Linked DNA regions of Anolis sagrei. The protein of the gene in region 2 interacts with the protein of the main gene of each other region in a biochemical or structural test. Links are inferred from orthologs where the notes say so. Each region holds a gene or a part of one and is shown on either strand. Other genes may lie near its edges.

Region 1 (11,124 bases), on a different chromosome or scaffold from region 2:
CAAGCTTTATTGCACTGTTTACTACAACCAATCTGTTGCAACCCAACATTGAAAATCTATGTCTCTTCAGATGCCCTTGAACGTATTCCCAAACTTCCCAGCAAACCAGAACAATAGAAGAGAAGGGGGAGGCTGGATGGGCATAAAAAGATTTTAAGAAAAGTGGTTCCTTTCTCAGAAGCTTTGTAAACTGAGGTATGTGCATTGTGACAGTTTCTAAAGCCCAACTCACAATAGATCCTCTCTCTGTGAGGCAAGATTACAGAAATACAGCATACAGTTATATACATGGAGTGTCAGTTTTGTCTATACCAGAATTCAAGGCAAGATACAACAAGCAGATGTGGGTGGGGAGGATCAAGAACTGTTAAGATCATGCTGTGACATAAACTAACAATGTTGGTATCAAGCTATTTCACTATCTTGATTAATTTAAATTACTCCCTATCAAACCACAAGCTGGCTCAGCTTCAGCATTTCCATGTCACCCTTTATTTTCCACCAGGGAGGAAAATGATTTTTCAGCAATGATATGTTTATTATTGCTGAAGAAATCTTCTTACTGAGTTTTATGGTTCTTAGCTGTTAGTTGAATCAGGCCTATTTGGGAGGAGAGAAATCTGTGATTTGGTTGCAATACTTAGTGATTCTCATCCTGTGGGTCCCCAGATGTTTTGGCCTTCAACTCCCAGAAATTCTTACAGCTGGTAAACTGGCTGGGATTTTTGGGAGTTGTAGGCCAAAACACTTGGGGACCTACGGATTGAGAACCACTATGTGAGTTATCCCTCATTATCCCTGATACCTTTTCAATTTTCATCATGACTTTCTGAGCAGAGCTTGGAAAAGTTACCTTTTTTGGACTACGTGAATTGTATGCTGGCAGGAAATATTTTGGGAATCAGAGTCCCAAAAATAATGTTTTCAAGCTCTAGTCTTGGGCAAGTGAAGCTTTTTCTATAGGGTTGTTGATATATTTATCATGATCTTACTAGAACTTGCTGTAAGGTTGTTTCTGCTCAGCTCCTTTATTCAGAGTCACAGTTATTCAAATGTTTCAAAACAAATACTAATGGCTCAAGAAAAACTAAAGTTGGGGTGAGGAAGTTTAAAAGGAATTGTTGGGCATTTTCATTTGGGAGGAGGAGGAGGAAGAGATGAAGGAGAAGGGGGCAGGTTTTATCTGAGACCTTAACAGGAGAACAGCTCCTCATTCTTTCTTTACAATGGGAGTGAGACGGTATTGGGGTATTTGGTACTTCCAGGAGTTGCATCACTCCTTGCAAATGAAAGAGAAATACCTGAAGGTTACTTTTTAATATAGGCATGTTTTTGTTTTTGTTTTTTGTGAAATAATGTGTGCATGGATGGGTGTGGCGTACCTTGTTTTAGAGAATTACAGCCTTCAGCTAATGGGTTTTTAGGGTTTTGTTTTTTTTAAGAAAATGACTTCTTGTTTGGATATAATTTTATTTCATAAATAGCCTTTAGTGCTGGAAAAATGTCTGCATAATTCCTTCCTCTAACAGATACCAGGGCTCAGGTTTTTCTTCTCCTGAATCTTTGCAGAGCAACCAGCAGGATGGAGCTCCACAGTGTAATGATCTGGCTCTTGAAAAAATGTTTGGTGACAGATTGTAGAGGAGCCAGTGCTGGCTCCCTCAGAAGAGAAGGCTGTGAGGAGACATTATAGCTATGTGTAAATATGTGTGGAGAAGTCATAGGGAGGAGGGAGCAAGCTTGTTTTCTACTGCCCTGGAGACTAGGATGCGGAGCAATGGCTTCAAACTACAGGAAAGGAGATTCCACCTGAACATGAAGAACTTCCTGACTGTGAGAGCTGTTCAGCAGTGCAACTGTCTACCCCGGAGTGTGGTGTAGACTCCTTCTTTGGAGGCTTTTAAACAAAAGTTGGATGGTCATCTGTCGGGTGCTTTGAATGTGATTTTCCTGCTTCTTGGCTGGGGGTTGGACTGGATGGCCCACGAGATCTCTTCCAACTCTATGATTCTTGGCCACAGTGAGGCACCCACTTCAGGCAGTAGATATTGGAAAACAATAGAAGCCATCTCCATCACTTCTTTCACCCTTCTTATTTCCTAATAGGATGTCCAGTATGCAGATTCCCCTCCCCTACCTGCAAAAATCCAGTGCCTTTTATAACTGGCAAGTTACCAGCCTTTCTTGGCAAAGAAGACCAAAGACCTTGTAAAACTACAACTCCTGTGGCTCAAAGCTATGGGTTCCTAGGCATTATACTTTGGTTAGACACCAGTATTCTGTCAGGGAAAGCTTGTAAAATTAAAACTCCCATGAATCCATGGCATGGAGTCATGGCAGTTACAATGGTGTCAAGCTGCATTAGTTCTACAGTGTAGATGCACCCCCAAAACTCTGGAGAGCAGAGTTTGAATCTCTACTCAGCCATAGAAACTCACTGGGTGACCTTGAGATGAAGGTTCATACAACCCCCCCTCTCTAAAAAAAAAAATCAGCTTTCAAAGCCCAGCAACAAGTTGAGGGTGGACAACAAATCCAAAGAAAATGAGCAGAGCTAGTGACCAGGAAATAGGAACCCACAAAATAGAAGAGTTCTGATGGGTAGAAAGGATTTTTAGGGTTGTAGGTTTTTTGGGCTGTATGGCCATGTTCTAGAAGCATTCTCTCCTGATGTCTCTCCTGATGTTTCACCTGCATCTATGGCAGGCATTGTCAGAGGTTGTGAGGATGCCTGCAAAATGTGAGATGCAGGCAAAACGTCAGGAGAGAATGCTTCTGGCCATGAAAGCCTTTGACAGTAAATTTCCAGGGTCTCGAATTCTGGTCTCCAAACAGGCTTTTTTTGGAGGGGGGTCTCTAAAATGTAAAACTAATGTAGTTTGGCATCACTTTAACTGCAATGGCTCAATGCCATGGAATCATGGGTGTGATCTTCAGTCTTCTCTGCCAAACAGTGCTGGTACCTCACCAAACTACAACCCTAAAGAGCATTGAGTTCTGGCAGTTAGAGTGGTATCAAACTGCAGGAATTCCACAATGTAAATGTGCTCTTTGACAAGTAAAGACGTGTCTATCCATTCTGACCATCAAGTGTCCATCTTCCCCCATGTACTGGATATTAAAAAATCACCATCCTAGGGGAGGCATGAGCAAACTTGGGCTCTCCAGGTGTTTTGGGGTTGGTCTCTCACAATTCCTAACCACCCTGGGTCCTTTCCTTTCCCTCCTCAGTTGCTTAAAGGCCTGAGGCTGTTAGGAATGGTGGGAGAGAAGGCTGAGAGGGGATATGATAGCCATGTATAAATATGTGAGAGGAAGCCACAGGGAGGAGGGAGCAAGCTTGTTTTCTGCTTCCCTGGAGACTAGGACGCAGTGGAGGAATGGCTTCAAACTACAAGAGAGGAGATTCCATCTGAACATGAGGAAGAACTTCCTGACTGTGAGAGCCGTTCAGCAGTGGAACTCTCTGCCCCGGAGTGTGGTGGAGGCTCCTTCTTTGGAAGCTTTTAAACAGAGGCTGGATGGCCACCTGTCAGGGGTGATTTGAATACAATATTCCTGCTTCTTGGCAGGGGGTTGGACTGGATGGCCCATGAGGTCTCTTCCAACTCTTTGATTCTATGAGTTCAACTCCAAAACATCTGGAGGGCCCAAGTTTGCCCATGCCTGTCCTAGAGGAACACCATTGAGGCAGATCTCCAGACCTTTGAGGCAAGAGCTTCTGTCTCTTCTCTCCCCCCCCCCCCCTTTGGATTTTCTAAGGATACTTTTGGAGATCAGAAAAGAAAGACAGAGGAGAAGAGGAGGAGGAGGTGGAAACCTCCTTTGCCAGGGAATGTCGAAGCTGTCTGAATTCTTTCCACTCCAGGAACGAGTCAAGGGGTCCTCCTCCTTTGGGTTTCCTTTAGACACGTTGGGAAACCGAAATTAGTAACAACAGGAGCAGCAAAAGACTGTCCTCTTCCAGGAGTGTGTTGGGCCATCCTCCTTTGAATCCTCTTCCCGCCAGGAAGGAGTGGAGGGGTCGTGGGAGATTTCCCAGGCAAGAACTTGTGTGTGTGTGTGTCCATCTCCTTTTGGATTCCCTTGGAGACGTTTGGAAAACGAGGAGGAAAAGCAACAAAAAGAACAGGAGCAATCCTTCCCCTGCTACGAACAAGTTGGTGATCCCCCAATCTCCCAGGCAAGAACTTGTGCGTAACTCTTTGGGTTTCCTTGGGACGTTTCTGGAGACCAAAGAGAATAATAATACCACAATAATAGGAGGAGGAGGAAGAGGAGGAGGAGGAAGAGGAAGAAGAAAAGGAGGACGAGGGGGAAGAGAAGGAAGAAGAGGAGGAGGAGGAACAGCCACCACCTCTTTTTTCAGGGCTGTGTTGAGACTGTTTGAACTCTGTGTTGTCAAAGGCCTTCATGCCCAGAATCACTGGGTTGCTGTGAGTTTTCTGGGTAGTATGGCCACGTTCCAGAAGCATTCTCTTCTGAAGTTTTGCCCACATCTATGGCAGGCATCCTCAAAGTTTGTGAGGTATATTGGAAACTAAGCAAGTGAGGTTTATATATCTGTGGAAGGTGGGAGAAAGAACTCTTGTCTGTTGGAGGCAAGTGTGAATGTTGCAATTAATCACCTTGATTAGCATTGCAAAGTCTGGCAACTTCAAGGCCTGGCTGGTTCCTGCCTGGGGGAATCTTAGCAGGCTCTGTTACTGAGTATTCTTTTTTTACTATCCTAACTTTAGAGTTTTTGTTAATACTGGTAACCAGATTTTGTTCATTTTCATGGCTTCCTCCTTTCTGTTGAAATTGTCCATGTGCTTGTGGATTTCAGTGGCTTCCCTGTGTAGTCTGACATGGTGTTTGTTAGAGTGGTCCAGCATTTCCATGTTCTCAAATGATATGCTGTGTCCAGGTTGGTTCATCAAGTGCTCTGCTATGGCTGACTTCTCTGGTTGAGTTAGCCTGCAGTGCATTTCATGTTCCTTGATTCCTGTTTGGGCAATGCTGCCTTTGGTGGTCTCTATGTAGCATTCTGAACTCCACCAATGATGGAATTGAACCAAACTTGGCACACAGAACTCTTATGACCAAAATAAAATATTGAAAGGGTTTGGTGGGCATTGACCTTGAATTTTGGACTCAAACGGTGATGGATCTGGACCAAACTTGGCACGAATACTCAATATGACCAAACGTGAAAACTGGTGGAGTCTGGGGGAGATAGAGCTTGACATTTAGGAGTTGTAGTTGCTGGGATTTATAGCTCACCTACAATCAAAGAGCATTCTGAACCCCACCAACGATAGAATCATAGAATCATAGAGTTGGAAGAGACCTCATGGGACATCCAATCCAGCCCACTGCCAAGAAGCAGGAAAATTCCATTCAAAGCACCCCCGACAGATGGCCATCCAGCCTCTGTATAAAAACCTCCAAAGAAGGAGACTTCACCACATTCCGGGGCAGAGAGTTCCACTGCAGCAGAAAACAAGCTTGTTCCCTCCTCCTCTCACATATTTATACATGGCTATCATGTCTCCTCTCAGCCTTCTCTTCTTCAGGCTAAACATGCCCAGATCTTTTAGCTCCTCCTCCTCATAGGGCTTGTTCTCCAGACCCTTGATCGTTTTAGTCCTCCTCCTCCTCTGGACACATTGCAGCTTGTCAACATCCCCCTTCAATGGTGGCGCCCAGAACTAGACACAGTATCCCACACAAAACCCCCATGACCAACAGAAAATATTGTGTTTTCTGCTGGTCTTTGGGGACCCCCCTGACAGACTCCTCGCGACCCCCCCCCCCCCCCAGGTTGAGAAACGCTTCTCTAGTGCGACAAGGTCCTTTGTGGGCCTGCAGATAGTTTGTATGTTGTGTTTCTTCATCAGATTCCCTATGCAGTCAGTGGTTCCCTTGATGTAGGGCAAGCAGGCATGTGGGGGGGGGGGGGAGGGGGGGGGGGCTTGAGGGGCTTCAATCCCCCCCCCCCCCAAATTCTCATGGTGGTTCGCGAAAAGGCCTTACTGGTGCATTATTTAAACTGTTATGTTTATCCATATCATGATCTGATCACCATACTCAATATATCCCATATGCATGGGGGTATTGGGGTAACGATACAAAAGGTTTGCTAGGCTAGACCCACTTTCACTCAGACTCAGCCCCCCAAATCGAAATCCTGGCTACGGGCATGAGGGCAGGCATCCTCAGAGGTAGTGAGGTGGGGTGTAAGTTGTGTTTCTTCATCAGCTTCCCTATGCAGTCAGTGGTTCCCTTGATGTAGGGCAGGCATCCTCCAACTGCGGCCTTCCAACTGTTTGGGGCTCCAACTTGTTCAATTGTCAGGAATTCTGGGAGTGGAAGGGCCAAACAGCTGGAGGGCCGCAGTTTGAGAAAGCCTGATGTAGGGTAAGAGGATCCCGCCTTGCCCTTCTTGTTTGAATTCTTCTCCGTGGAGGAATCGCGGAACATCCCCAGATCTCCGCGGCGAGAGTTTGTGTGTGTTGTGCGTGTTTGTGTCTCCTCCTCCTCCTCCCTTTCCTTCGGAGTTCCTTGGGACACTTTTGGAGAGAGAGAGAGAGAAAAGGAGAAGGAGAGGGACCCGCCTGGCTCCGCCCTTGTCCCGCCTCGCCTGCTTTGGCGGAGAGCGGCGTCCTCCTCCTCCTGCTGCTGCTCTCCTTCCTCCTCTCCTCTCGCTCTGCACCGGCTCCAGAGCCCTTCTTCGGACTCACTCGGCGGCATCCTTCCTCTCCGAGGGACTGACTCCCTCTCGCCTCCTCCGTTGCTCTGGATGGCTCCCGCGGACTGAGCCCGCTCCTCCTCCGGATCATGCGCGACCGGGGCGAGTGAATCCTTTGGCGGCGGCGGAGGCGGCGGGCGCTGCTCCTCGGATCCGCGGCTCCTTCGGCTCCCGTCCGCGCCCGGCAGGGTGGGCTTTCGGCGGGGCTCCGGCGATGCTGCTGGGGCTGCTGGTGCTGTGGGCGGCCCTGGAGCTGCGCGCCTCCTCCTCCTCTTCCTCGCTGGCCGACTTCACCTTGGAGCACGAGGTCCACTCCAGCTTCATCCACCGGCGGCTGCGGAGCCAGGAGCGACGCGAGATGCAGCGGGAGATCCTCTCCATCCTGGGCCTGCCCCACCGGCCCCGGCCCCACCTGCACGGCAAGCACAACGCCGCCCCGCTCTTCATGCTGGACCTCTACAACGCCATGGCCGGCGGAGGCGGCGGCGGCGGAGGGGCCGAGGAGGAGGCGGCGCTGGGCATGGGGGGCGAAGCGGGCGCCGAGGCCGCCGGGCTGGAGGGCTACTCCTACCCCTACAAGCCCCTCTTCAGCACCCAGGCACCCCCCCTGGCCAGCCTCCAGGACAGCAACTTCCTCACCGAGGCAGACATGGTCATGAGCTTCGTCAACATGGGTGAGTGCGTGGCTCCCCTCCTCCGCTCAGGCTGATACCCCACTCGTGGCTCATTGCGCTTCTCTGTATGCCAGGGGGCATCCACTCACTACACTGTAGAGCAGGCACAGGCAAACTTCGTCCCTCCCTCCAGGTGTTTTGGATTTCAACTCCAAATGGTGGGAGTTGAAGTCCAAAACACCTGGAGAGAGGGCTGAAGTTTGCCCATGCCTGGTCTACCGGCTGTTAGGAATTGTGGGAGTCGAAGTCCAAAACACCTGGAGGGAGGGCTGAAGTTTGCCCATGCCTGGTCTACCGGCTGTTAGGAATTGTGGGAGTTGAACTTCAAAATGCCAGGAGGGAAGGTCGAAGTTTGCCCATGCCTGTCCTCGAGGAACACAGTTGAGGCAGATCTCCAAATCTCCGAGGCAAGAGCTTCTGTTTCTCCTCTTCCCCCTTTGGATTTCCTTAGGAGACTTTTGGAGACCGGAGAAGAAAGACTGAAGAGAAGAAGGAGAAAGCCTCCTTTGCTAGGGATGTCAAAGCTGTTTGAATTCTTTCTCCGCCTGCTGTAGAGTGAATAGGCTGAAGGCCTCCTTCTCTGCCAAAGAGTGCAGGTGCCTCACCAGATCCCAAAACTCAAAAGCATAGTTTGACACCACTTGTATTTTAATGTGGCACTGGAACTATTTCACAGAGGAAGTTAAAGACCACAGCTTCCCTGGTTCCCAAGTATTCCGCCATGGCACTTCAGATGCACCTTCCATGCAAAGTTAGAAGGATCTGGATGCCCTTGCCAATACCTGATTCTATGATAGCATCATAGAAGCATAGAATCATTGAGTTGGAAGAGATCTTCTGGGCCATCTAGTCCAACCTCATTCTGCCAAGAAGCAGGAAAATCACATTCAAAGCACCCCCGACAGATGGGCATTCAGCCTCTGCTTAAAAGGCTCTGAAGAAGGAGCCTCCACCACACTCCGGGGCAGAGAGTTCCACTGCTGAACAGCTCCCACAGTTAGGAAGTTCTTCCTAATGTTCAGGTGGAATCTCCTTTCATGTACTTTGAAGTCAATGTTCTGCATCCTAGTCTCCAGGGCAGCAGAAAACAAGCCTCTTCCCTCCTCCCTATGACTTCCCCGCACATATTTATATGTGGCCCTCATCATGTTTCCTCATCCTTCTCTTCTGCAGACTAAACATGCCCAACTCTTTAAAGCCGCTCCTCATAGGGCTTGTTCTTCATACCCTTGATAATTTTAGTCACCCTCCTCTGGACATATTCCAGCTTGTCAACATCTCCAATCAATGCTTCTGGAACATGGTCATACAGCCCAGAAAACCTACCGCAACCCAGAAGTTAAAGACCATGTAAAAGTATAGCTTTGCATGCTCTCATGATAGTTAGGTGCACCTTCCATGCAAAGTTAGAAGGATCTGGATGCCAGTGCCAGTTCTGATGCTTGTCACCCTTAGGTGCCCATTATTCTAGTAATTCTCACTGGGGTGGAAATCTGCCATGGACTCTTAGTAGGCAGTATTACCTATGCATTCTGATGGTGGCTAGCAGTCCTTTTCAAAGTTCTTATTTCATGTCAAAACAATTGCATAAATAGATAAGTTTAAAATTGATAAAATAAAGGGATAACAAGCTGCTAAATAGATTTAGACCAAAAATGGGCAACAGCAACTGCATTGTCTGTAGCTTTAAACAGTTCTTCCTCTGTGCATGAGGCAATGCATAATGGACAAGTATACAGATACTGAGTTGTTTGTTCTGCTCTACAGTTACACAAGGTGGAGGATTATTTTAAGGTAGTGGATCTCAACCTGAGTCCCCAGGTGTTTTTGCCAACAACTCCCAGAAATCCTAATTTACCAGTGTTAGGATTTCTGGGAGTTGAAGGCCAAAACATCTGGGGACTCACAGGTTGAGATCCACTGTTTGTTCTAAGCAGTGCCATTTTGCTAGGTTGTCTTTTAATCTGCCAATTCACTTCTGAGTCTGTTCAAGGACTTTCAAATTGCTCATTCTTGGTTTGCCTCTGGAGGAAGACCCTCGTAGGGGACCATCTAGTTGGAATTGCCTGATTTTGCTGCCCACAGAGATATTCTTGCTGTTGCTGGAGAAACATGATGAGGAGTGGTGGTTCTCGTGAAACAGTTCCTTGATTTAAGTTTACTAGGAGGAGGCTGGTAGCCATACAGTGGGTGGCTCTCATAGTGTGAAACCTTATTTCTCTCACAATTGGCAGCAACTTCCCATCACACATAGGGGAGGGGGGGATGCCAGCTAGCTTGCTTATTTATTTATTTATTTATTTATTTATCATGTCAGGGGCAACCAGACCATCTACAAGCTAACATAGAGTCTATCAACAGGTGTAGATTAAAGATATCTTGTGATTATTCTATGAATGCCCCCAATGCAATGCTGCTCTGGGGCACTGTAGAACATTAAAATGGTCCAGAAGAATAGGATTTGCCGGAGGATGATTTGCTTTGGAACCTGGAGCTGAATCTGCTTCAGCTTTGCTTTTTGTACTGGTGGTTACCAATCGACCTGATGGCACGAATTATGTGATTGCTGTATTATGCCTCTGCTTCTGTGCTATTGCTTGAGCTCCACCACTTCACCAAGAAGTAGTATACAGTGCTTTAAAAACAACCACCAGATTTAAAACACTTTTGGGAGTCTCTCCTTGTGGGTGTGGCACAACCTGGTGCAGAAAGGTTTGATGCAAATCTCTTCAAATGATATCTCTCCCCTTTCTAAAATTGTTTTACTTTTTGAACTCACCTATCCTGCTACCAATCACTTAGATAGTAGAATAATTGCCCAGGTTCATAGTACACTCATTTGTGTGCTGTATGTTGGTGTTTTGCTCAAATATCTGTGGATCTAGATCCTTATCGAGACTGGATGGAGATACAACTTTTCTCTATACTGTGGAAATCTCCATTAAAATCAAATAGTGAATCTTCCTAGTGGTGATGGGACAAGTCAAGGGGGAAGGGGGAGGGGGAGTGTTGCCTTTGTAAATCTAATGTGAACCATTCAGGGATGTTCTGGGATAACTCAGCCTGTCCATATGATCTCGGATGGTTTTCCCTGGTTCTGGGTCTTGTCCTTTTCAGTATCTTTGTGTCTTCCCTTGTGAGTATCCCATATTCCCCATAATTGAGTATTTTCTTCAGTGTGAGAATAATTAATTTAGCAACAACTCAGTCAAATTAAGCCTATATAATGAAGCCCCCGGTGGTGCAGTGGGTTAAAGCACTGAGCTGCTGAGTTTGTTGATCAAAAGGTTGCAGGTTCGAATCCGGGGAGTGGCGTGAGCTTCCGCTGTCAGCCCCAGCTTCTGCCAACCTAGCAGTTCGAAAACATGCAAATGTGAGTAGATCAATAGGTGCTGCTCTGGCAGGAAGGTAATGGCACTCCATGCAGCCATGCTGGCCACAAGACCTTGGAGGTGTCTACGGACAATGCCGGCTCTTCAGCTTAGAAATAGAGATGGGCACCACACCTCAGAGTTGGACACGGCTGGACTTCATGTCAGGGGAAAACCTTTACCTTTACCTAAGTATATAACTTTCCTTAGGAGCAGTTACTGGACAGCCACCTTCAATACTTTTCAAGAGCCAATGGTCTTCACCGCAACTGTCCCTAACCTGTCTTCAGGACCCTGTAGAAGAGACATTAATATGCTCAGTTTAAAGCTTTCAGTTCTGCGTATG
Region 2 (10,039 bases):
GTAGCACCTTAGAGACCTTCTGAGAGATAGAAGCTTTCCTAGACTAAGGCCATTTCCACAAAGCTGTATAAAATCCATATTGAACTGGATTATATGGCAGTGTGGACTCAGGACCCTTCCAGACAGGTTGTATATCCCAGGATCTGATCCCAGGTTTTCTACTTTAAAGTGGATTATAAGAGTCCCCACTGCCAGATATCTGGGAGAAACAGAAAACCTGGGATCAGATACTGGATATAGGGCCTGTCTGGAAGGGCACTCAAGACAATCCAGTTCAAGCAGATATTGTGGATTATCTGCCTTTATATTCTGGGTTATATGGCGGTGTGGAAGGATCCCTAGACTAAGTAAGCTTCCTCAGATGTATTTAGTCCAGGAAGGCAACTATGGGCAAAACTAACCAAAAGGCTTAAAAGGAGGAGAGAGGGGGCATGAAAGACTACTTTTGGTATAAGGATTTGTAGAGGGCTGCCACCTTGATTTGCTCTGGAATCACTAACTCCTCCCAATCCCTTTTAAAAGAAGCAAAAACCCTAAGAGAAGCAGCATCCCAATGCAGTCAACTAAATGGAAACTGGCTATGGCAATTCCTCCTTGCAAGGAAGTACATTGGGGTGAGTTCACCCCAACAAATTTGGGGCAGTAAGAGCAAGAGCGTGTTTGTAGGCGAAGGTGGGAGACACGTGAAAAGGTGAGGAAGGCTGAATTCTCAGGGCACTTCCACACAGTCATATAACCCAGAATATTATATGGCAGATTATTATTATTATGTTTATGTTTATTTATATCCCTCCTTTTCTCTCTATATGGAGAGTATATAAAACCATAGCATCCCGTGACTAGATCGTAAACACCTTCATCTTTAAATGCATGTTTGAAAAAAAAGGTTTCAGCCTGCCACTGGAAGAACTGCAGGGAGGGGTCTATTTTGGCTTCCTTGGACAGCGAGTCCCAGAGTCTCGGCCACCAAGGGCCCTTCCACAGCCATATAACCCAGTATATGGCATTGAATTTTGCCATTACTTATGTGTATACCGCTTTGAGTCCCCCTTGGAGTGAGAAAAGCGGTATACAAATACTGTAAATAAATAAAATAAATATATCAAGGCAGATAATCCACAATATCTGCTTTGAACTGAGTTATCTGAGTCCACACTGTGATATAACCCAGTTCAAAGCAGATAATGTGGGATTTTATTCAGCTGTGTGGAAGGGGCCAGAGAAGGCCCACCAGCTGAGCAGAGAGAAGGGCCTCTCTTGAAGATTTCAGGACCAGGACAGATTCGTACAAAAGGCCAAACAGCCTGGAACTGAACTGTCTAGGAGCCCTTTCACTCAGTCATATATCCCAGAATATCAACGGAGAAAACTCCACAATATGTGCTTTGAACTGGGTTATCTTAGTCCACACTGCCATATAATCCAGCTCTGTGGAAGGAGTTCTGGTAATACCAGTTTTGAACTGGATTAATGAATCCACACTGCCATATAATCCAACTCAACGTGGATTTTATACAGTTTGGTGGAAGGGGCCTTGGATCTTCGGGGAAAGTCCATTCCTATCTTCTTCGCCCTTCCCTCCCAAAATAAGCCTGTGCCAGACCCATCCTGCCTCGGTTTGTGAGGAAGTCAAGCTGCAGCGCGGTGAGGTGTGTTTATTTTAATGGGAGCGTGTGCAAAAGAGCAGGTATACTCCCCCCCCCCCCCCCAAACCCAACAGCTCCTGACTTGCTTCAGCCAAGGAGTGTAATGTCTACGGGTCCTTCCAGACAGCCATATAACCCAGACTATCAAGGCAGAAAATCCCACAATATCTGTTTTGAATTATGTTATCTGAGGCCCCTTCCACACTGCCGAATAAAATCTCACAATCTTGAAAAACTCTAAAATTGCAACAGCAAAACAACAGAGGGGAAACAATCGGGCACATCTAATCACCTGTCAACAAAAGATTGCCCCGGGCACTGCCAGGCCATCAAATGCTAATCAAGGTGGTCAGTTGAAACATTCACACCTAGCTCCAACAGAAAAGAGTCCTTTGTCCCAACCTGGTCATTCCACTGATATATAAACCCACTAGCCGTCCCCTGCCACGTGTTGCTGTGGCCGACATGGGGGTTTTGTGTGGGAGGTTTGGCCCAATTCTATCATTGGTGAGGTTCAGAATGCTCTTTGAACTATAAATCCCAGTCACTACAACTCCCAAATGTCAAGATTCTATGTTCCCCCAACTCCACCAGTGTTCACATTTGGGCATATTGAGTATTTGTGTAGTTTGGTCCAAATCCATCATTGTTTGAGTCCACAGTGATCTCTGGATGTAGGTGAACTACAACTCCAAAACCAAAGGACACTGCTCACCAAACCCTTCCAGTATTTTCTGTTGGTCATGGAAGTTCTGTGTGCCAAGTTTGGTTCAATTCCATCGTTGATGGGGTTCAGAATGCTCTTTGATTGTAGGTGAACTATAAATCCCAGCAACTACAACTCCCAAATGACAAAATCAATTCTTTTTGAGTGAAGAACATACATTGGGTTGTTAGGTTTTGTCTTGTGTCCAGATTTGGTGTCAATTCGTCCAGTGGTTTTTGAGTTCTGTTAATCCCACAAATGAACATTACATTTTTATTTATATAGATTTTCCTAGTTCCAACAGACCTCACTACCTCTGAGAATGCTTGCCATAGATGCAGGCGAAACGTCAGGAGAAAAAACCTACAACAACCAACAACAACAACAACAATTCTTTATTGATTAGTCAATTTTGACCGTATCAAAACATGCAAAACATACACTTGGCCATACATACAGTATACATACAGTAAAACCATATATGAATACAAGGCAAGGCATATTCCGGTTTCTCTTCAGATCGCATAAACCAGGGGTCCTCAAACTAAGGCCCGGGGGCCAGATACGGCCCTCCAAGGTCATTTACCCGGCCCTCACTCAGGTTGAACCTAAATCTGAAACGACTTGAAAGCACACAACAACAACAACAACAACAACAACAACAACAACAATCCTATCTCATCAGCCAAAAGCAGGCCACACTTCCCATTGAAATACTAATTAGTTTATATTTGTTAAAACTGTTCTTCATTTTAATTATTGTATTGTTTTTAAGGGGTTTTTTGCACTACACATAAAATGTGTGCATATTCAAATTATAATCTGGCTCATGCTGCAGATACAATAATATCTACACCAGTGGTTCTCAACCTGGGACCCCTGGGGGGGGGGTCGCGAGGTGGTGTCAGAGGGGTCGCCAAAGACCATCAAAAAACACAGTATTTTCTGTTAGTCATGGGGGTTCTGTGTGGAATGTTTGGGCCAATTCTATCGTTGGTGTGGTTGAAAATGCTCTTTGAATGTAGGTGAACTATAAATCCCAGAAACTACAACTACCAAATGTCAAGGTCTATTTTCCCCAATCTCCACCAGTGTTCACATTTGGGTATATTGAGCATTCATGCTAAGTTTGGTCCAGATCGATCATTGTTTGAGTCCACAGTATTCTCTGGATGTATGTGAACTACAATTCCAAAACCATTCCAGTATTTTCTGTTGGTCATGGGATTTCTGTGTGCCACGTTGGGTCCAATTCCATCATTGGGGGAGTTCAGAATGCTCTTTGATTGTAGGTGAACCCTAATATATCCCAGCAACTACAACTCCCAAATGATAAAATCAATCTCCCTCAACCCCACCAGTATTCAAATTTGGGTGTATTGGGTATTTCTGCCAAATTTGGTCCAGTGAATGAAAATACATCCTGCATATCGGATATTTACATTACAATTCATTACAGCAGCAAAATTACAGTTATAAAGTAGCAACAAAATAATGTATTGTCGAAGGCTTTCATGGCTGGAATCACTAGGTTCTTGTGGGTTTTTTCGGGCTATAGAGCCATGTTCTAGAGGCATTTCTCCTGACATTTCGCCTGCATCTATGACAAGCATCCTCAGAGGTAGTGAGGTCTGTTGGAATTAGGACAATGGGTTTATATATCTGTGGAATGGCTGGGGTGGGGCAAAGAACTCTTGTCTGTTGGAGCTAGGTGTGAATGTTTCAACTGATCACCTTCATTAGCATTTGAAGGCCTGCCTGAGCCTGGGAAAATCTCTTGCTGAGAGGTGTTAAGATGTGCCTGGTTGTTTCCTCTCTGTTGTTTTGCTGTTGTAATTTTAGAGTTTTTTAATACTGGTAGCCGGATTTTGTTCATTTTCATGGTCTCTTCCTTTCTGTTGAAATTGTCCACCTGGTTGTGGATTTCAATGGCTTCTCTGTGTAGTCTGACATGGTGGTTATCGGTGTGGTCCAGCATTTCTGTGTTATGGTTGGGGGTCACCACAACATGAGGAACTGTATTAATGGGTCGTGGCATTAGGAAGGTTAAGAAACACTGATCTACACCATGCTGCAGATATAATTATTATTATTATTATTATTATTAAAAAAAATAAAAAATCTGGCCCTCCAACAGTTTGAGGGACTGTGACCTGGCCCTCTATTTAAAAAGTTCGAGGATCATTGGCATAAATCGTTACAACAACCCAAAATCTCACAAGATCTGCTTCGAACTGGCAGTGTGGACTCAGATATTCAAAGCAGATATTGTGGGCTTTTTCTGCCTCGATAGTCTGGGTTATAGCTGTGTGGAAGGGTCCCAAGTCCACACTGCTATATATTCCAGTTCAAATCGGATAATGTGCGATTGTATTCAGCTGTGTGGAAGGGGCCTATGTGTGCGAGTGGGTCTTTCCATAGAGCTCCCGGCCAGGCCTCGCCTACTCTTAGTCTGGAGACGGCGACTAAGTCTCTTGCTTCTTAAAAGGCAAAAACGAACGCAATTCAAGCCAGGCCTTAAAGGAGGAGGGAATATTTTCGGAAGGGAAGAGAAGGGACTCCTTCCCGCCGCCATTAGCTCCCCGCCTTTGCCTCACTCACCCGTGCCGGGGGGCCTTCATCCTCCTTTGTGCGGAAGGAGAGAGACAGAGAGAGAGAGAGAAGCAGGTCTGAGGTAAACCGCGTCCCCTCGGCTGAGGGCCTGGCCCGGTGGGGACCTTCCTCGGCTTCTCTACACGACGAAGGCGAAGGCGGCCCACGAAGACGAGGGAGAAAACTGTGAGGAGACAGCGCAGGCCTCTCCGCCTTTACCACAGCCTTTACCACAGCCGCCTCTCGACGCCAGCGCCGCCGTCCCCCCTCCCTCGTCAGAGCGTGAGCGCGCGCGCGCGCGCGTGTGCCTCTGTGTAGATGTGTCTGGGCACGCGCCTGCGCAGGAAGACGCGGAGGGAAAACGTCGCGCGCGCGCACACACTCCCTCGCGCTCTCTCTCTTGCGTGCTTGAGGAGTACGGCAGGAGGGGGGAGCAACGTTTGGAACGCTCTCTCTCTCACTCACTCGAATTATTCCAATCACTGCTAGTCGTGAAGCATGCCATGATTGGCTGGGGAGGAAAGTGCGAGGCGCGCGGACTCTACCTCCCCCCCCCCCTCCGCGCGTGCCTGCGTCTGTCCTTCCCCATCCCCCGTGCTCTCTCTTTTTAAAGTCCCTAAGGTGTTATTTGGCTGCCTTCCCGCCTCTCTACGGAAGTAGCCGAATAAGTTCGGAAGGGGTCGGCTTTAAAGTGAGGCCCCCAGCTCCCCGCACAGGCCAACTTGGCGCAGGCGCATTGGGATACACCTTTCCCAAAGAGAGGAGAAAGGGGTGCCGAAGTGGTGGCGGAGATTCCCGAAGGAGGCGCCTTCGGGGAAAGCGAGGCGGAGCTTCCCCGCCATTTCCGACCTTGGGAAGTTTTGGCGATAGAATCATAGAATCAAAGAGCTGGAAGAGACCTCATGGGCCATCCAGTCCAACCCCCTGCCAAGAAGCAGGAATATTGCATTCAAATCACCCCTGACAGATGGCCATCCAGCCTCTGTTTAAAAGCTTCCAAAGAAGGAGCCTCCACCACACTCCGGGGCAGAGAGTTCCACTGCTGAACGGCTCTCACAGTCAGGAAGTTCTTCCTCATGTTCAGATGGAATCTCCTCTCTTGTAGTTTGAAGCCATTGTTCTGCATCCTAGTCTCCAAGGAAGCAGAAAACAAGCTTACTCCCTCCTCCCTGTGGCTTCCTCTCACATATTTATACATGGCTGGCTATCATATGCTGGGGAAAGTGGAAGGTAAAAGGAAGAGGGGCCAACCAAGGGCAAGATGGATGGATGGCATCCTTGAGGTGACTGGACTGACCTTGAAGGAGCTGGGGGTGGTGACGGCCGACAGGGAGCTCTGGCGTGGGCTGGTCCATGAGGTCACGAAGAGTCGGAGACGACTGAACGAATGAACAACAACAAATCATATCTCCTCTCAGCCTTCTCTTCTTCAGGCTAAACATGCCCAGCTCCTTAAGCCGCTCCTCATAGGGCTTGTTCTCCAGACCCTTGATCATTTTAGTGGCCCTCCTCTGGACACATTCCAGCTTGTCAATATCTCTCTTGAATTGTGGTGCCATATAAGCAGGAGCGGTTTAAGGAGCTGGGCATGTTTAGCTTGAAGAAGAGAAGGTTGAGCGGAGATATGATAGCCATGTATAAATATGTGAGAGGAAGCCACAGGGAGGAGGGAGCAAGCTTGTTTTCTGGATGGCCATCTGTCAGGGGTGCTTTGAATGCAATATTCCTGCTTCTTGGCAGGGGGTTGGACTGGATGGCCCATGAGGTCTCTTCCAACTCTTTGATTCTATCTGCCTTGATATTCTGGGTTAAATGGCTGTGTGCAAGGCCCCTGATTTCAAAGCAGATATTGTGGGTTATATGGCTGTGTGGAAGTTCCATAAGGGGAAGTGAGCAGCCCAGGATACCAAGTTGTATTTATTTGCTACAGGAATGGGCAACCCATGTGGCTCCTGATATTGGGAGAATAGCACCATGTATGCTGGGACTAATAATAATAATAATAATAATTTTGTGTGTGTGTGTCAGGAGTAACTCCTGGTGTGAGAGAATTGGCCGTCTGCAAGGACATTGCCCAGGGGACACCCGGATGATTATGATGTTTTTATCATCCTTGTGGGAGGCTTCTCTCATGTCTCCGCATGAGGAGCTGGAGCTGATAGAGGGAGCTCATCTGCCTCTTCCCAGATTCGAACCTGCGACCTGTCGGTCTTCGGTCCTGCCGGCACAGGGGGTTAACCTGTGGTCAGTGGAAACATTCACACCTAGCTCCAACAGGCAAGAGTTCTTTGCCCCACCCTGGTCATTCCATTTTCCTAATTTCAAGAGACCTCACTACCTCTGAGGATGCTTGCCATAGATGCAGGCGAAACGTCAGGAGAAAATGACTCTAAAACATGGCCATATAGCCTGAAAAAAACCTACAACAATCCAAAGTACCATTCCTGGTCCATTAGGTAAGAAAGAGTGAGTTATAATGGTGAACTGGAGATAAGCAGGAGTGGACAGCATATTTCTTTTTGTTTAGGAATGATATGTTTAAAACTGATGATGATGATGATGATAATAATAATAATAATAACAATAAACTTTATTTATATACCGCTCTGTCTCTCTCGGGAGACTCGGGGCAGTTTCCAAGCAACAAGATCAAAATATACAGAGTCACAACATGAACAAAAAATAACAGCAACATAAGCATGGAATTACCCGACAACACATAAATATTAAAAGAAAAGATCTTGCCTGCTCTTCATATCTGCACCGGGATTGTGGTGCAGCTGGCTGAGTGTCAGCTGCATTAAGATCACTCTGACCAAAAAGGTCATGAGTTCGAAGGGTTGGAGTGGGTTTCCAACCAATTGTGTGTAGCCTGTTGTCGACCTTTGCAACTGTTGCATCTGTCAAGTAGGAAAATAAGGTACCACCTTAAAGTGTGGGGAGGCTAAATTAACTGATTTATGAGGCCATAAAGAAGACTCCAGCAAAGCATTCCAGCGGGGAAGCATGCGGGGAATGCGGAAGTGCTTCATCAGTGTCGCAGATGGACGATGAAAGCGACAGCTCCCCTGGTGGCCAGAAAAAGTTAAATAGCCTCTGTGTATGTCTGTATATGTTTGTATGTCAAAAATTGGCATTGAATGTTTGCCATATATGTGTATACTGTAATCCGCCCTGAGTCCCCTGCAGGGTGAGAAGGGTGGAATATAAAAGCTGTAAATAATAATAATAATAATAATAATAATAATATCTAATTTTTAGGGCATGGAAAAGGAATGGGTCAGGACAATTTAAAATGACAACTTTTTTTTTAAAAAAAACACACAGCAGTTCGGTAAATATATTAGGGTTTTTTTAAATTAAAAAATCAAGTCTGTTCTGTCTTAAAAATACTTTGTGAAAACTGCATTTTCACATTGTCCTCAGCACATTCATATAAAAACCTGACAGCCTATGGAAATGTCCCAGTCAGCATGAGGAAAAATGAAGGAAGGGTTTTGCTTAGTAATGTGAAAAACGAGTTGCATTGCCTGTGAAATCTACTATAAAGAGACTCCTGCATTGTGCCAATGTACTTGTCTTTTCCTTGACAGCTGACTAAGATGTTATTGGGATATCGCAGCAGTTTCTCATGGCACGGTGCCCTCTTCGCCAAGCAGTTTGTGAAGGACAAGTGGATGGGAAAAGCATTGAAGATGCTTGAAATTGGCAGCTGGCCTTCTGTGAAGCTTCAGAGGGAAACAGTGGCCTGTATTGTTCGCCTTCCAGCCTACCACCCTCCAGTTCCAATACTGGAAGCTGGCATTTAGAAAGAACTGCCATTGCTTCAGAATAGAAGAGGAGAGCTCATGGCTCAAGAGCAGTACAAGCTCTTTGTGTCCAAAACACTTCACATTCATCATCTTAGTGACTAACATCTCCACTGGTTTTGTTGCCCGGTGGTATTATTGTATAACTATGTCATGCCCGGTTGTTTTAAAGGATGTAAAGAAAGAAAAAAGGGATAAAAATATTTTAAACTAGCCGTCCCCTGCCACGCGTTGCTGTGGCCCAATCTGTGTATATGTGTTTTGTGTGTGTATAAAATTTGGTGTCAATTCTTCCAGTGGTTTTTGAGTTATGTTAATCCCACAAACAAACGTTGCATTTTTGTACTAGCTGTCCCCTGACACGCGTTGCTGTGGCCCAGTCTGGTGATCTGGAAAATAAAGTAATGAGAAAGTGTTGGTTTCTAATATATGTAATTCCTTTATGCTTGTGAGTAAACAGTATTTCTTGTTGTTTCTTTGTCAGTGTTGATGTGGAGAGTGTCTGGTTTGCCTACTCTGGAATAGCAACATATCATAGTCCTTCTTTAAGGGTCTCTTTCAAATCTATGATACTATATCTGTGTGTGTGAAAGAGAATCATATCTATCTATCTATATTTATGACTGGATGGCTCTTTGTCAGGAGGGCTCTGATTACATTTTCTTGCCCTGGTGAAGAGAGTTGGACTGGATGGCCTTAAGTATTTTCTGTTGCTCATGGGGGTTCTGTGTGGGAAATTAGTCCCAATTCTGTCGTTTGTGGGATTCAGAATGCTCTTTAATTTTAGATGAACTATAAATCCCAGCAACTACAACTCTGAAATGTCAAGGTCTATTTCCCTTAATCTCCATCTGTGTTCATATTTGGGCATATGGAATATTCGTGCCAAGTTTGGTCCAGATCTATCATTGTTTGAGTCCACAGTGCTATCTCGAGGTGGGTGAACTACAATTCCCAAACTCAAGGTCAGTGCCCACCAAACCCTTCCAGTTTTTTCTGTTGGTCATGGGAGCCCTGTGTGCTAAGTTTGGTTCAATTCCATCATTGGTGGGGTTCAGAATGCTCTTTGATTGTAGGTGAACTATAAATCCCAAGAGGAAGGCACGTCAAGCCAACCCCGACCGAGACCACCTTCCACCTGGAAACCATTGCCCTCACTGCGGAAGAAGATGCAGAGCAAGAATAGGGCTCCACATCCCCATACGGACCCACAAGAATACTGGAAGACAATCATCCTCGGAAAACGAGGGATCGCCTAAATAAGTAAAGGTGCAAGTCTTTTTTTT
Region 3 (10,064 bases), on a different chromosome or scaffold from region 2:
GTGTAAAGTAAAGGTAAAGGATGACAACTTAAATCGGTGAATTGTTTTAATGTTTTTATATTGGTTTATTATAATATGTATATTGATGCTTGTTTTTATTTTGTTGTTGGCACTGTGCTGTGCCGGTTGGGATACAAATGCCCTAAATAAATAATAAATAAAGGTTTCCTCAGACATTAAGTCTAGTCGTGTCCGACTCTGGGGTCTGGTGCTCATTTCTAAGCCGAAGAGCCGGCATTGTCCGTAGACACCTCCAAGATCATGTGGCCGGCATGACTGCATGGAGCATTGTTACCTTCCCGCCATAGCTGTATCTCTTGATCTACTTACATTTTGAACTGCTAGGTTGGCAGAAGCTGGGGCTAACAGCGGGAGCTCACACCACTCTCCAGATTTGAACCTAAGTTGGCAGAAGCTGGGGCTAACAGTGGGAGCTCACGCCACTCCCCAGATTTGAACCACCAGCCTTTTGGTCAACAAGTTCAGCAGCTCAGCGGTTTAACCCACTGCAATGCTGGTGCTCCTATATATCTATTAATTAATTATTTTTTCTATCTATATTCTACTCTATTTTGTCTATCCATCCATCCATCCATTCTTTCTCTCTCTCCCAAAATCAGTTTTTCCAGGAAGACTTTGACCTTACTTCAAAAAAACACCAAACGTTGTGCATCCCTTTCCTTCATCTCCTTCCAAGCCCAGATTTCTGTTTGGGAGCATATCCTTATGATATTATAGTATGTTTTGCTGGTTGTTAAGCAATCCCAGAGGGCAGCATAGGGGACAGAGGGAGAGGGAGAAAGGCCATATAAAATCCAGATGATCAGGCTTTGAACTGGATTATCTGGCAAGTGTAGACTCAAGTGCATTATTTGCTTTGATAATCTTGATTATAGGGCAGTGTAGAAGGGGGCCGGAGATGCCAGCTGCTAAGAGGAGAAAAAATCCCTCTGCGGAAGTGAAGCGTCCTGGCTACAAGGGAATTTTCACAAGGTCCTGAGTGGGTTGGAAGGACTTTTTGGCAAGATCCAGTGAAAACATCCTGGATGCAAAGGACTGGGGGCAAGGTCCAGTTCAAAGCCTTGGTTGGAAAGAGTTGCTCCTGAAGATCTTGGGTGGGAAGGACTTGGGGCAAGGTCCTGAGTGGAGAAGGCTTTTGGAAAGGGCTTCTCCTGAAGCTCTTGAGTGGAGAAGGCTTTTGGAAAGGGCTGCTTCTGAAGATCTTGCGTGGGAAGGACTTGGGGCAAGGTCCTGAGTGGAGAAGGCTTTTGGAAAGGGCTGCTCCTGAAGGTCTTGAGTGAAGAAGGCTTTTGGAAAGGGCTGCTCCTGAAGATCTTGGTGGGAAGGACTTGGGGCAAGGTCCTGAGTGGAAAGGGCTTTTGGAAAGGGCTTCTCCTGAAGATCTTTGGTGGGAGCGACTTGGGGCAAGGTCCTGGGTGGAGAAGGCTTTCGGAAAGGGCTGCTCCTGAAGATCTTGGGTGGGAAGGACTTGGGGCAAGGTCCTGAGTGGAGAAGGCTTTTGGAAAGGGCTTCTCCTGAAGCTCTTGAGTGGAGAAGGCTTTTGGAAAGGGCTGCTTCTGAAGATCTTGCGTGGGAAGGACTTGGGGCAAGGTCCTGAGTGGAGAAGGCTTTTGGAAAGGGCTGCTCCTGAAGGTCTTGAGTGAAGAAGGCTTTTGGAAAGGGCTGCTCCTGAAGATCTTGGTGGGAAGGACTTGGGGCAAGGTCCTGAGTGGAAAGGGCTTTTGGAAAGGGCTTCTCCTGAAGATCTTTGGTGGGAGCGACTTGGGGCAAGGTCCTGGGTGGAGAAGGCTTTCGGAAAGGGCTGCTCCTGAAGATCTTGGGTGGGAAGGACTTGGGGCAAGGTCCTGAGTGGAGAAGGTTTCTGGAAAGGTTTGCTCCTGAAGATCTTGGGTAGGAAGGACTTGGGGCAAAGTCCTGAGTGTAGAAGGCTTTTGAAGAGGGCTTCTCTTGAAGATCTTGGGTGGGAAGGACTTGGGGCAAGGTCTTGAGTGAAGACTTTTGGAGAAGGCTTCTCCTGAAGATCTTTGGTGGGAAAGTCTTGGGCAAGGTGCTGAGTGGAGAAGACTTTTAGAAAGGGTTGCTCCTGAAGATCTTGGGTGGGAAGGACTTGGGGCAAGGTACTGAGTGTGGGAGGCTTTTGGAGAGGGCTGCTCCTGAAGATCTTTGATGGGAAGGACTTGGGGCAATGTCCTGAGTGGAGAAGGCTTTTGGAGAGGACTGCTCCTGAAGATCTTGGGTAGGAAGGACTTGGGGCAAGGTCCTGAGTGGAAATGGCTTTTGGAAAGAGTTGCTCCTGAAGATCTTGGGTGGGAAGGACTTGGGACTTTCCTATCCCAGACCATGCGCGTACTGCAAAGAACATCATTGCCTGGTTTTCTCTTGAAATAGTAGCCTGCAAAGCGGGGATTTAGAGCAGCTTGGAGGGCAACTGAGAGAAAGGAGTTGGGGGAGGAAGAGTTGAGTTGTAGCTTTGAGAGAAAATGAGGAGGAAGGAGTTTGGGGGCAGAAGCTTTGGCCGACTTCAGCCGACTTCATCGGATGCGCAATTGCGCATCGGATGAAGTCGGCTGAAGTCGGCCAAAGCTTCTGCCCCAAACTCCTTCCTCCCCAGTTCCTCTCCCAGTTCTTTATCCCAGTCCCTCTACCTTTAACCATAAATACACGCAAGAGAGTGGAGTGCCTTCGCTTTAAGGCTCTAAACACCAAATCCTGGGGCGCAAGGAAAGAAAGAGCCGCTGCTTTGCTTTTGGAGCGCGAATCTCCAAGTTCCTCCAAGTTTGGGGTTTTCTTTTGGGGACACAAAGCCTCTTGTGTGGGTTTCCTCTCGAGTAAAACAAAGCTCAACTACTGATTGAACTAAACTCGGAGTAAACCGGGCAGGAAAGTTAAGACTCGGAGTAGAAGAGAGAGAGAAAGAGAAAGGAACCCAACCTCCGACAAAAGCCGCAAAATGCACATCTCTCCAAGCCTTTCCTAATGAAACATGGCCAAACAGCCCGGAAAACTCACAGCAACTCAACTATAATGAGAGTACTGATACTCATCATGCTAATACGGGTACTAATCGTGCTAATAATGCTATAATACGAGTTTTGTTTGGGTCCAGGGAAAGGAAAGGAAGGAAAGGAGGGAGGGAGGAAGGAAGGAAGGAAGGAGCAAAATCCTCCGACAAAATGCACAACTCTCCAAGCCTTTCCTAATGAAATATGGCCAAACAGCCCAGAAAACTCATAGCAACTCAACTATAATGAGAGTACTGGTACTCATCATGCTAATATGGGTACTAATCGTGCTAATAATGCTATAATGAGAGTTTTGTTTGGATCCAGGGAAAGGAAAGGAAGGAAAGGAGGGTGGGAGGAAGGAGCAAAATCCTCGGACAAAATGCACATCTCTCCAAGCCTTTCCTAATAAAACATGGCCAAACAGCCCAGAAAACTCACAGCAACTCAACTATAATGAGAGTACTGATACTCACCATGCTAATATGGGTATTAATCATGCTAATAATGCTATAGTGAGAGTGTTGTTTTGGATCCAGAGGAAGAAAAGGAAGGAGCAAAATCCTCGGACAAAATGCACATCTCTCCAAGCCTTTCCTAATAAAACATGTCCAAACAGCCCGAAAAACTTACAGCAACCCAACTATACTGATAGTAGTGATACTCATCATGCTAATATGGGTATTAATCATGCTCATAATGCTATAGTGAGAGTTTTGTTTTGGATCCAGGGGAAGAAAAGGAAGGAAAGGAGGGAGGAAGGAAGGAGCAAAATCCTCCGACAAAATGCACATCTCTCCAAACCTTTCCTAATGAAACATGGCCAAACAGCCCGAAAAACTTACAGCAACCCAACTATAATGAGAGTACTGATACTCATCATGCTAATATGGGTATTAATCATGCTAATAATGCTATAGTGAGAGTGTTGTTTTGGATCCAGGGGAAGAAAAGGAAGGAGCAAAATCCTCCGACAAAATGCACATCTCTCCAAGTCTTTCCTAATGAAACATGGCCAAACAGCCCAGAAAACTCACAGCAACTCAACTATAATGAGAGTACTGATACTCATCATGCTAATATGGGTACTAATCATGCTAAAAATGCTATAGTGAGAGTGTTGTTTTGGATCCAGAGGAAGAAAAGGAAGGAGCAAAATCCTCCGACAAAATGCACATCTCTCCAAGTCTTTCCTAATGAAACATGGCCAAACAACCCGAAAAACTTACAGCAACCCAACTATACTGATAGTACCAATACTCATCATGCTAATATGGGTACTAATCATACTAATAATGCTATAATAAGGGTGTTGTTTTGAATCCAAGGGAAGGGAAGGAAGGAAGGAAAGGAGCAAAGCGCTACTCACTGACAGAAAGCACGGCAGATAGAAACAGTCCATGGTTCTTCTTGACAGCCAGTGCGGAGCTCGTAGGATCCGTGGGAGGGAAAAGCGGGGATCCTGGCGCGGGGAAGGCAAGCGGGGACCGACGCGGATCAAAGGGAGCAGTGCGGAGGGCTCTGGTGCCGAGCATGGGAGGGAAGAGCCAGCTGCTGCTCTCGCTGCCGCTCCGGAGCGCCTCCTGCCAAATGCACCGCTTGGACTAGACTGGGACGGGCCAGCCAAGGGATTGCTGCTTTCTTCCCCCCAACTTTTTTCCCTCTCTCCCTCTCTCGGTTCCAGCCCCGGGGAGGGTCACGTGAGCCCGGCAAGGCCCTCCCTTTGCTGTCCTGGCCTGTCAATCATGGAGACGAAGCACCGCCCACTCTCCTCCCCCCCCCCCCCCCCCAAACACACACACAACTGGCCAGTCCCCAAGATTTGGTCCCTTCCTGGAAGACTGGATCTGCACAGCCATATGATACGGTTTGGGATTGCATTAGAGCAGGGGGTCTCAAACTTTTTCAGCAGCTGAGCCCTTTTTGAAGCAAAAGTTTCTCATGGAGGCCCAGGAAATGATACATTATATTATATTATATTATATTATATTATATTATATTATATTATATTATATTATATTATATTATATTATATTATATTATATTATATTATATTATATTATATTATATTATATTATAGGTTGTTGTGACAACATCTGTTATAGAACTACAATATGCTGATGATAATATCATCTGTGCACATTCAGAAGAAGACCTACAAGCCACTTATATCATATTACATTATATTATACTATATTATATTAGAGGTTGTTGTGACAACATATGTTATAGAACTACAATATGCTAATGATAACGTCATCTGTGCACATTCAGAAGAAGACCTACAAGCCACTTATATCATATCATATTATATTATACTATATTATATTAGAGGTTGTTGTGACAACATATGTTATAGAACTACAATATGCTGATGATAACGTCATCTGTGCACATTCAGAAGAAGACCTACAAGCCACTTATATCATACCATATTATATTATGCTATACTATATTATATTATAGGGTGCTGTAACAACATATGTTATAGAACTACAATATGCTGATGATAACGTCATCTGTGCACATTCAAAAGAAGATCTACAAGCCACTTATATAATATCATATTATATTATGCTATATTATATTATATTAGAGGTTGTTGTGACAACATATGTTATAGAACTACAATATGCTGATGATAACGTCATCTGTGCACATTCAGAAGAAGACCTACAAGCCACTTATATCATATTACATTATATTATACTATATTATATTAGAGGTTGTTGTGACAACATATGTTATAGAACTACAATATGCTGATGATAACGTCATCTGTGCACATTCAGAAGAAGACCTACAAGCCACTTATATCATACCATATTATATTATGCTATACTATATTATATTATAGGGTGCTGTAACAACATCTGTTATAGAACTACAATATGCTGATGACAACGTCATCTGTGCACATTCAGAAGAAGACCTACAAGCCACCCTAAACACCTTTGCAGAAACATACTGGAAACATTCACACCTAGTTCCAGCAGACAAGAGTTCTTTCTCGTCTGCTGGAGTTCTTTCTCCCCTCCCTTTGCTATCCTGGCCTGTCAATCATGGAGACGAAGCACCGCCCACTCTCCTCTCCCCCCAAACACACACACAACTGGCCAGTCCCTAAGATTTGGTCCCTTCTTGGCAGACTGGATCAGCACAGCCATATGATACGGTTTGGGATTGCATTAGAGCAGGGGTTCTCAAACTTTTGCAGCCGCAGAGCCCTTTTTGAAGCAAAAGTTTCTCATGGAAGCCCAAGAAATGATACATTATGTTATATTGTATTGTATTGTATATTATACCATACTATACTATACTTATTATAATATACTATGTTATATTATTATATGTTGTTGTGAAAACATCTGTTATAGAACTGCAATATGCTGATGACAATGTCATCTGTGCACATTCAGAACAAGACCTACAATGGTTTGAGCCCCACCATTCTCTGTGATCACATCTCCTTCTATGAACTAGTGCAAACTCTTAAGATCTTCTAGCAAGGCCCTCCTTTCGCTCCCACCACCGTCACAAGTATGGTTGGTGGGGATGAGAGAGAGGGCCTTCTCAGTGGTGCCCCCCCCCCCGGGCCTCTGGAATGCCCTCCCCAGGGAAATTAGAAAGGCCCCATCCCTCCCCTCTGTTCGTAAGGCCTTGAAGACCTGGTGGTTTCAACGTCTTTGTGAACAACTAGTTCTAGCTCAGCCCTAGACATTGTGGAATATGGCCTTATTCCTCCTACCAATTACCCATGTCACTTCCTCTAATAGGCCCTGGATATGAATCAGCCATAGATCCTACTATAACACTGCACTTGATTCCTGCCCCCCCTAGATTTTTTGAGCTTGCACTAATCTCAGCCCGGCCTTGTAAATTGCCTTGAACAGGCAGAATTACTTTTAATATGTATGTGTTATGGTGACAATTTTATGCTTATATTGTTTTGTTAATCTTATGATTATGTTGTTTACTCTGTATGTATTGATGATGGGTTGTTGTAGGTTTTTTCGGGCTATATGGCCATGTTCTAGAGGCATTCTCTCCTGACGTTTCGCCTGCATCTATGGCAAGCATCCTCAGAGGTAGTGAGGTCTGTTGGAACTAGGAAAAAGGGTTTATATATCTGTGGAATGACCAGGGTGGGACAAAGGACTCTTGTCTGCTGGAACTAGGTGTGAATTTTTCAACTGACCACCTTGATTAGCATTTGATGGTCTGGCAGTGCCTGGAGCAATCTTTTGTTGAGATGTGATTAGATGTCCTTGTTTGTTTCCTCTCTGTTGTAGTGCTGTTCTAATTTTAGAGTTTTTTTAATACTGGTAGCCAGATTTTGTTCATTTTCATGGTTTCCTCCTTTCTGTTGAAATTGTCCACATGCTTGTGGATTTCAGTGGCTTCTCTGTGTAGCCTGACATGGTGGTTGTGAGAGTGGTCCAGCGTTTCTGTGTTCTCAAATAATATGCTGTGTCCAGGTTGGTTCATCAGGTGCTCTGCTATGGCTGACTTCTCTGGTTGAAGTAGTTTGCAGTGCCTTTCATGTTCCTTGATGTGTGTTTGGGCAATGCTGCTGTGTTTGGGGGTCCCTGTGTAGACTTGTCCACAACTGCATGGAATACAGTAGACTCCTGCATAGGGAAGCTGATAAGGAAACACAACATACAAACTATCTACAGACCTACCAAGAAAATCCAACCAATGCTTCGTTCAGCAAAGGACAAGAGGGATCCTCTCACTTCTGCAGGAGTCTACAGTATACCATGCAGCTGTGGACTTTTTAACTTTTAAACTATAAATTCACAAAAGTCATAATGACTACTACAATGCGCTCTACGTGGGGTTGTCTTTGAAGACTGTTCGGAAGTTTCAAATGGATTGCACATCAGAGCAGTGCGCAGGTGTATCAGGATGTCACAAAGTCGTCAGACAGAAATATTTGCATACTTGTTTAGGAAACCCAGGTAATACAGTTGGACCTAACATCCCCCCCACCCTCTACCCCCCTTAAACCCCCCCTCCTCCTTCTGTTTCGATTATATGTTAAATGTTTTGTCTGTTTTATATTTGAAAATTCAATAAAGATAATTATATAAAAAAAAGAGCAGTGCACAGGGAGCACACAACTCCTCTGTTACGTCAGCTCAACTGGTTGCCAATTTGCTATTGAGCACAATTCAAAGTGCTGGCTTTAGCCTATAAAGCCCTAAATAGTTTCAGTCCAGCTTAGCTGTCTGAACGTATCTCTCCCTATGAACCATTTAGGAATTTAAGATCATCTTGGGGAGGTCGTGCTCTCAATTCCATCTTCTCCGCAGGCTCGGTTGGCATGGACGAGGGACAGGGCCTTCTCAGTGGTGGCCCCTCAGCTATGGAACTTCCTCCCTCCTGACCTTCTGGACAAAAGGGGAAATGTGGCTTTTTGAGCAAGCCTTCTGGAATCCAGTGCAATAGATAAACGCAGAATTATGTGCAATTGAATCTTGGAACAGCCCTGACAATGACTTTGGATAATGAGGCTAATTGTGAAGATGTTGGGGTTTTGTTTTGTTTTGTTTTTAAAGGTCTAATGTATGTATTTTATAACTCTGGTTGTGAAGCAACCATGAGTTGCCTCTGGGCTAGAGAAAGGCAGAGTAGAAATGTTGTAAATAAATAAATACCAATGTGGAGGGACAATTGCACAAGGATTAGAGTCTCTTTAAAACTAAAAGTTCATTCTTCTAATGGAAGGAAAAATAGATAAATTCCATTTTGTGGAACCATTTCGAAAAATGTGCCCTCGGCGACCTGCCAGTTTTTAAAAAATTAAGTTACAGAAAGGATGAAATAAAAAGAGGGAATAATGAGATGTTGACTCTGATCCAGGATTTGAGGTTGAATCTTTTTGTCTCCATTGTTTCCTGTCCTAAGTTCTCTTTCGCCCTCCAGAAGGGCTTTCTTGTAATTCCCATAAAACTTTGCTACCTGCGCAAAGAAACAAACCCTCTCTGATCTCTTCAGGCTCAGCCGAGAGTCCTTTGCACAATCCAGTCACCCAAGGAATCCAGAAATGTTCTTTCCTCTCCCTGTCCATCCTTCCCGCCCATTAAACTCAAATAGGATTAGGAACTTAATCGCCCGAAGTGAAGTAATGCAAACATAGTGGCTGATTCCATTTCGCAGGGACTCCATTTTTGAAGGGAAGAAGGAAAGTAGAGGAAAGAAAAGGAAGGAAGGAAGGAAGGAAACACAAGGAAGGAAGGAAGGAAGGAAGGAAGGAAGGAAGGAAGGAAGGAAGGAAGGAAGGAAGGAAGGACAAGGTGAGGAAAGAAGGAAGAAAAGGAAGGAAGGAAGGACAACAAGACAGAAAAGAAAAGAAAGGAAGGAAGGAAGGAAGGAAGGAAGGAGAAAGGAAGGAAAAGCAATGAAGAAAGAAGAGAGAGGAAAGAAAAGAAAAGAAAAGAAGGAAGGAAAGACAAGATTAGAAGGAGAAAGGAAGAAAAAACGAAAGAAAAGTGGGCAAGAAAGGAAATACAATGAGAGGAAGGGAAGGGAAGGGGAGGGGAAGGGAGGGGAGGGGAGGGGAGGGGAGGGGAGGGGAGGGGAGGGGAGGGGAGGAGGAGAAAGGAAGGAAAGAGGAAGGAAAGAGGAAGGAAGGAAGGAAGGAAGGAAGGAAGGAAGGAAGGAAGGAAGGAAGGATGGACGGACCACAAGAAAGAAAGGAAAGGAAAGAAAAGAAGGAAGGTGAAAGGAAGGAAAAGCAATGAAGAAAGAAGAGACAGAGGAAAGAAAAGAAAAGAAGGAAGGAAGGACAAGATTAGAAGGAGGAAGGAAGGAAGAAGGAAAGGAAAGCAGGCAAGGAAGGAAATACAATGAGAGGAAGGAAAAGAAAGGAAAGGAAGGGGAGGGAAGGGAAGGGAAGTGAAAGGAAAGGAAAGGAAAGGAAGGGAGGAGTGTAAGAATAAAAGGAGGAAGGAAGGAAGGAAGGAAGGAAGGAAGGAAGGAAGGAAGGAAGGAAGGGGAACGAAGGACAACAAGAGAGGAACGAAAGTACAGGAA

Evidence for each region.
Region 1: the proteins of BMPR1A (region 2) and BMP7 form a complex in vitro, tested with the Homo sapiens proteins (2 studies listed by BioGRID). The link is inferred for Anolis sagrei from reciprocal best matches to the Homo sapiens genes BMPR1A and BMP7.
Region 3: the proteins of BMPR1A (region 2) and BMP4 form a complex in vitro, tested with the Homo sapiens proteins (3 studies listed by BioGRID and IntAct, with this or other methods). The link is inferred for Anolis sagrei from reciprocal best matches to the Homo sapiens genes BMPR1A and BMP4.

The regions. Positions count from the first base shown.
Region 1 is NC_090024.1:227,006,104-227,017,227, reverse strand, and holds the start of BMP7 (bone morphogenetic protein 7), read left to right. Parts: upstream 1-6,579; 5' UTR 6,580-6,947; coding exon 6,948-7,407; intron 7,408-11,124. UniProt on the Homo sapiens protein: Growth factor of the TGF-beta superfamily that plays important role in various biological processes, including embryogenesis, hematopoiesis, neurogenesis and skeletal morphogenesis.
Region 2 is NC_090023.1:159,895,070-159,905,108, forward strand, and holds the start of BMPR1A (bone morphogenetic protein receptor type-1A), read right to left. Parts: upstream 5,247-10,039; 5' UTR 4,954-5,246; intron 1-4,953. UniProt on the Homo sapiens protein: On ligand binding, forms a receptor complex consisting of two type II and two type I transmembrane serine/threonine kinases.
Region 3 is NC_090021.1:337,795,880-337,805,943, reverse strand, and holds the start of BMP4 (bone morphogenetic protein 4), read right to left. Parts: upstream 4,728-10,064; 5' UTR 4,393-4,727; intron 1-4,392.